Linked DNA regions of Xenopus tropicalis. The protein of the gene in region 2 interacts with the protein of the main gene of each other region in a biochemical or structural test. Links are inferred from orthologs where the notes say so. Each region holds a gene or a part of one and is shown on either strand. Other genes may lie near its edges.

What was found.
Region 1: the proteins of sntg1 (region 2) and plekha1 form a complex in vitro, tested with the Homo sapiens proteins (2 studies listed by BioGRID and IntAct, with this or other methods). The link is inferred for Xenopus tropicalis from reciprocal best matches to the Homo sapiens genes SNTG1 and PLEKHA1.

What each region holds. Positions count from the first base shown.
Region 1 is NC_030683.2:18,981,939-18,985,594, forward strand, and holds the end of plekha1 (pleckstrin homology domain-containing family A member 1), read right to left. Parts: intron 3,079-3,656; coding exon of another isoform or gene 3,038-3,078; intron 1,568-3,037; coding exon 1,289-1,567; 3' UTR 220-1,288; downstream 1-219. UniProt on the Homo sapiens protein: Binds specifically to phosphatidylinositol 3,4-diphosphate (PtdIns3,4P2), but not to other phosphoinositides. May recruit other proteins to the plasma membrane.
Region 2 is NC_030682.2:113,973,639-113,977,294, reverse strand, and holds part of sntg1 (gamma-1-syntrophin), read right to left. Parts: intron 3,134-3,656; coding exon 3,041-3,133; intron 378-3,040; coding exon 267-377; intron 1-266. UniProt on the Homo sapiens protein: Adapter protein that binds to and probably organizes the subcellular localization of a variety of proteins. May link various receptors to the actin cytoskeleton and the dystrophin glycoprotein complex.

The DNA.
Region 1 (3,656 bases), on a different chromosome or scaffold from region 2:
CCCAACAAATAGTGACTGTCATTGCATCTTACAGCAGCCCTTCTGGCATTTGCCAGAACCCCCAGATTGCCAGTCCGGGCCTGCTCCAAACATCTATATTTTTTGGATATCCACTTACTATATTAAAAGACCTACCTTTGTGTACAAACAACTATTCCAGTATTGTACGGTGGAGCCAGCAGAGCAAGGTATAACAGAACAATGGCAGAAAATACTGAATTTACTGAAAAAAGACAGGTTTATTTCCAGTGGTAAAGATATTTTAAATGGGCATTTTCACCCACATTATTTAGGAAGAAAACTTTATAAATTAGAAAGTATCCCCAACACCCACAAAAACATATAAAATAAAATCATTAAAAAAAACACACACACTTTGGGTTTTCTTTCCAAGAAGGGTTATAAAGGGGAAGCACAGAATTACAGCAGATTTGTTAGAATCAGCAGTACAAGTGACAGTCTTACAGCACGACCAACGCAGGCACTTGAGACTCAGAGGCAAAGATGGCGCGGGAGGCAGGGCGAATCCCTCCCCCGGGCTCATCTATAAAACGCCAAACTACAGGCTGGGCACAGCCAGAGGGTTTCTAATACTCTCAGCAGTACCTCTGACAAATAGAACGTCAAAAAGAAACAAAAGACTGAAAGGCCAACTTGGACAAGTGCTAATAACATTGTGGCTTTCAGATCTGTGGCACGTGGAAGAGATGTGCAAAATACATACAAGGGTCTCGGATTGGGGAGACCCCCAGAGTTTATGCGCTTTACCTCGGGGACCCTGATTATTGCTTTCAGCAGCACTGTGTCACACTGGATATGAAAAATACTGAATAAGCAAAATAACAAAATAAACATTAAAAGCATTTAAAATACCAGCAACCTGTGGCTCCCCCACAGATCTGTAGAGCTGCAGTGAGAGTGGCAAGAATAATTCAACCACAGCTTTGTAACGAAACCTCTATAAGAGCAACAAGGCACTCCATGCCACTACGGACATGATCCTATCAATCTAATGACCCCAGTCACCGTTCCATACTGGGGAGGGGGGAACAGACTGTTCCAACATTTTTCTGCTTTGACTACAAAAAAATAATTCTTGGGAATATTTTCTTCCAGTCGCACAATGCCATCTCTATAGCATTTAGCAGGTTTCCCCTTCACTGAGGAGCATGGCAGCTCAAGGGAATGGGTGCTGCTTTAACAGTTATGACCTCAAGGTGAAATTGCCCCAAAATGTACCCCACCACCCCCTTCCCCAAACGGCATACAAAGATGTGGCAGATGATGATCACACATCAGTGACTGGCAGGCTGGCATCGTCTAAATCCAAAAGCACAGGTTCCCGACGGCTGCCATACATGGTGACAGAGGCAGGAGTCATTTTGCCAGGCTGGTTTCCTGCAGGGAGAGTCTGGACCTTGCTGTATCCTGGCTGGGCTTTACTAACAGAGTTAGGTTCTTCCCTCTCGCGGATAGGCATTCCGGGGTCAGAGAGCTGAGCTCTGGCGGCTGAGTGAGGGAGAATGAAGGAACGAGAGGGTGCGCCATGTTCGGAATTTGGGGCCTCCTGCGAACAACAAAGACATGGTATGTGAGAGAGCCGCCTCACCGTGGGCTTGTTAGTAATCAGTGCCGGGTCTGATCAGCTGTGACAAAGTCAAGATAAAAAGGAAATGCTAAAAAAAAAAAAAATGACAGTTGCAAAATCATAAAGCATGATGGGACAGTCGTTATCAGAAGTCCATGGTTGATTATAACAAGCCAGAGAGAAAATCTTCCTAAAACATCAGCCACTAAAAGGGGAAATCATTAAAGGGTATATTCATTGTATCAGAACTTTTTTAGTCAGTTGAATTAGTTTGTGAGATTAACGTGAACCTGCTTAGAAAACAGCTGTATTAATAAGAAATAGCAACGACACTGGGGAAATTTGCACCTGGGCAGTAACTCATGGCAACCAATCAGCAGTCAGCTTAGTTTAGCCAACTGTATAACAGAAAACGGAACAACTGGCTGCCATGACCATGTAACTGGAGGAGTCCCAAGCCAGACTTGGATTTCTTACTATTGAGTGCTATTCTGATACCTACTGGGAGCTGCTATCTTGCTCCCTTCCTATTGTTCTGCTGATCGGCTGCTGGGATGGGGGGGGCCGATATCACTCCAACTTGCAGCGCAGCAGTAAAGTGTGACTGAAGTTTATCAGAGCACAAATCACATGGCTGTGTTTTCCCATGACATACGGATATGGAACAGCTACACTGTATCAAAAGCTGGCAAATAAGCTATTAAAGGCTAATTAACCCTTTAAAACAAGTTGATGTAAAATCGATGAGAGTGTCATTCTAAGCACTTTTGCATTTTATACATTTTTTTAATTTTTTAAAAAAATTTCCAAGATATTAAGGGTTAAAAGTACCGTTACTATGAATGCATTTTGTTAGAACAGCGCCGCCTGCTGGTCACTTTCCCAACATGAATTAGTCAAGGACATTGTCTGAAGAAACAAAGAGGGCTTGGCTGATGTTGTCAATTGGAAAAAGTGCTTAGAACAGCACTCTCATCAATTTTGCATCAACTTATTTTAAAGGTTTACTTAGCCTTTAAGATTATTATGATTTTAGTACATTATTGCTCATAAACAAGTGATCATATCACCCATGGCTCTAAATTTATACGGCTAAAGGAACAAGCATATAGAGCTATGAGTGACCCACAGTGAACACCTAGTAAATACTAAGCATTTTTCCTTTCCATTTTTGTATTCTTTCACTTCAAGAAGGTGCCATAGGCAAATATATATATATATATTCAGTTCCCATACACAGCAGACTGTGGATCTTTCTAACATTGTGCATGCTCAGTCATTGGCAGGAAACATATCATGCAAGCACACCAAGTTATAAACATACACTGTGCTGATGGATGGATGAGGAAGGGTGTGCAAATAATGAGGGTGTTGGACATAGGGACAGGGTTACATGAGAGGGGCGGCAGCAATTGATCAGTAGAGGGACATGCACTGCTGCCTGTGTACCTTGGAATACAGGGATTCGAAAGGCGTCTGACCTGTCGGATCTGCGGGGACACGGGTGGGTGGAAGTTAGATACTTACTGAAGGATCAAGAAAAGATGGGATAACAGAAAAACACCAGGAAAAAGGCAGTAACGGCTGTGTGGTTAAATCCTACGACTGTCGTGACAAGGACCAATTAATAGTGAGTATCTATATTATAACGTGAAGGAGGGGAGTACAACCTGTGAGTAAACAATTTCCAGGATCCCCGTGGATACGTATATTAAAAAATGTCATTTACATGAAAACATATATTAAATAAGTAATCTATATTTCTTAATACAGATTTGAAAATGTATATAATTAACCTTCACCTGTCTGTTTATAGGATAAGTAAACCTTTTAAATAAGGTGATATAAAATTGATGAGTGCTATTCTAAGCACTTTTGCAATTTACATTCATTATTATTTATTTTTTAACTACAGGATATTAAGGGTTAAAAGTACTGTTAGTATGAATGCATTTTGTTACAACAGCGCCAACAGCTGGTCACTTTCCAAACAAGTAGTAGGGGACCTTGTCAAAGAAGTTGCCAGGAGAAAGAAAGAGGGCGGGGCTGTTGTTCTTCTGTAGGAAAA
Region 2 (3,656 bases):
CCATTTATAATTGCACAAGCTTTCGCGCTCACGCAATCACACACACACACACGGGGTACATAATACCCTATATATTTGTGAGTGTTGGGTCTTAGGTGTGTGTGTATACAGTATGTATGCATGCACTGGGGATCATTTGGAGGGGATGAACTGAATGGACTTTTGTGTTCTTCATAATCATGATCATAATCATTTTTTACACTGTTTGTTGTTCTCGACAAAATATTTCCCAAGAGTACAGTTGTTTGGATACAAAATACTTTTACCTTTGCTTCAATTTGTTTTGTATCTTGGTTCTGGAATAAAAATTTAATTTTACTTTTTCCATCATCTGAAGAACCTTTGAGTTGAGAGAACTTGTATTTCCACAGAATTGCCTTAAAGAAAAAGGAAATAAAAAAACATAGTTAAGATGAGACACATTCAAGGGGTAGTTCACTTTTTTTTCTTATAATTCTTGCTTAATTGTGTCCACTGGAGGGGGTAAGAGTCTGACCCAATTGTGGCAGATGCATCAAAACATGTTAAATTGCGCCTGCATGTTATGAATGCCATAATTTAAATTGTGTGTAAAGAATATTTTCTATGCATTTTTGTATGTTTGGTATTTTTTTTAATTGCTTTCTGTGCAGTTTTACATGTTACCCAAACAGATTTTAGATGCCAAAAATAGACACCAAAATCTTTTGTTTAATTTAAACTAAAGTTCTATTTACTATTAGTTCTATTTACTATTAGTACTATTAGAACTGTGACTACAGTACCTAAGGAAGGCAGTACCATAGATGTATTGATCTAACCAGGACAAATATTACAATTTAGGAAAGGCTGAATTGTCATATTTACTCAAGCAAATCAAAGTTGGTATGCATTATTGAATTGACAGCGTCCAAGTAATCATGCCTATACCTATCTGAATCAACTTACTCAAACGGACAATTAGAAAACTACAGTAAAAATGTAATAAAATGAACAATTTCTTCACAGATACAATGGGAGCTATTTCCATATATATAAGCCTGAATAATTCAGGTAAGGTAAAATTACTGTTAGGGGTGCCAAGTTTTTAGGCAACAAATGATTCTAGTTGCTTATGTCCTATCATAGGCTGATGCTCCTTTTCTTCAGAAAATGCACTGGGCTGGGGTACTGTTCCTGAGAGTGCTGCGCCGGCATTTTGTTCCTCATGAAGCTCAGTGCAGAAAATGCCAAAGAAATTCATGTGCTCCCCAAAATGGCGCAGGGGATGTCTAGGACATCAGAACAATATAATGCAATGACATTCACAGGAAACTACCTCAATCCATAATTTAAAAGGGTTATTCACCGTTGAGGGTGATATTCTGAGACAATCTGAAATTGGTTTTAATGTTTTTATTGTGCATGTTTTTTTTAATGATTTAGCTATTTGTTCAGCAGCTCTCTAGTTTGGAATGGCAGGAGCTATCTGGTTGCTAGGGTCCAAATTAATCTAGTAACCAGACGGTGGTCTGAATGAGAGACTAGAATATGAATAGGAGAGGGCCTGAATAGAGAGAGAAGTAAAAAAAAAAAAGTAAAAAATAGTAACAGTAACAATAATATTGTAACCTCAAAGAGCAATAATATATGGACTGATGGGGTTAGCAACTGGCTAATGGTCTTTTTTCACATTGGAATTTGTATACTTCTGCAGAAAAAATGTATACTTTATTATAATAACACACAGGGATTAAGATAATATAGTTATTTGCTACGTGTATGCACTATGGTAACCCATTGGAAATTGAAATTGCATTGGTTTGCACATTGCATTGTTGCCTTATTCACTTTTTTGCTGCAATATGTGTTGTGTAATTGTTCCTTATTTTATGGCCCTGTAACTTGGGCCCAGGGGAGAGGAAATGGTATATACAGTATTATTATGTATTGTGATGGCACATTGGAGATCAAAATGCTATTGCTGAACATACTTATTAATCACTGTCTTTATAAACATTTTCCTTTACTTTGTGACTAATCTAATAAGGACCAGATTTATTACTATTAGTCATAATTGCTCTGCCTTAGACATTTAGAGACATTTATCAATATTCTCATTTTCATTGTTTTCGAGGTTTCTGAAACCACGACTAAACTAAATTCTGGGAATGTCTGTCATTTATGAAAAGTTGTAATATGAAAAGCACAAATGAAAAAAGACGCAGAAAAAAACTCAAAAACGTCTACTTTTCCATATTGTCGTACAAATGCAAGCGTCAAACCCCCCCCCCAAAAAAAAATTCTAAAACTAGGAAGAAAAGAAAGGTCTTCCAGTTGTAAAAAGGACATCTGCCATTGACCTTTACATGATTTCAACAGGTTTTAGATGGCGTATTTTATTTTCTGTTCTGGTTTTGTTGATTAATAAATTGTGAAAAAATAGTTTTTTTCCATAACAAAATTGTATTTTGCTGCAAAAACCGGATTGTGGGACAAAATTAAAATCAAACCTGAGTAAATGCCCTCTTATTCTCTAACCCAAACCGGTGCCATTTTTATACCATGTTGACCTGGCCCATCATCATCACTCTTCCTCTCTCAGGCTAACACTCTTTTCCTCTTTCTTCTCTTTGCAGCTCTCTCAGTATGTCACTCTCTAGAGCAGGGGGCTCAAACTCAATTTACCTGGGGGCCGCAGGAGGCAAAGTCAGGATGAGGCTGGGCCGCATAAGGGATTTCACAAAAAAATTGTGAAATCAGCTAATTGTGCACACAGAACGTCTTCCCATAATAACTGTTATGATGGCATAACGTCATTTCCGCAATCAGCAGCTCCCGCCCGCCGTGCCTTGCATTATCCCTTGAATCGCAATAAAAATCTCGATCCATTCATTGCTTTTGAGAAGGCGTTGGTGCGGGCCACAAAATATTGTACCGAGGGCCGCAAATGGCCCGCGGGCCGCGAGTTTGAGACCCCTGCTCTAGAGCTTTACATTCTCATTAGACATACTGCACATTGTTAGGGGGTTCTCCTTCCTCACTTTTGCTTACGCTTACACTCATCAGATAATATGTTTACCTTTGTTGCAGCATCAAAGCAGATAAATCCCATTCCAAAATCGATAGTAAGACCCATCAAATGGCTTTCAATTACACAGGCATAGGTTTTGCACTAAAAAATACAAAATATTAACATAATAAATTACAATTCCTCTATTTTATAAAGCGTTACAGAATTATTATTGATACTTCATCTGATTATCAATATATATTGCATTTCAAATAATAAAAATGATGTGAAATATTGTTTCGAAAAACAGACTTTGAAGCACAGAAAAATACTAAGTTGCATAATTTTACCTACACGGAATGCATCATGTGTTGATACAATAAAAATTGCCAATTTTGATGATCAATTACTTGTCACCCACCCCCAATCAGTTTGTGCAGGGATGCAAAATAGGACACACGTGGTATGGAAATGGTGGTGAGAGCAAGGGAATGACGCACATAATAAAAATAAATATATTCAGTAGCTTGGCAAGTAATAACCCTGTAGAGTGGGGATTTTGACAACCACCTCATCCTGGTTATAAAGTGATTTACAGTTGTTAAAATGCTAGTTACAAAATATTTGCATGTTCTCCATATTAGAAAAATGGATTCAGTCATCATGAAAAAAAACTTTTTTTTTT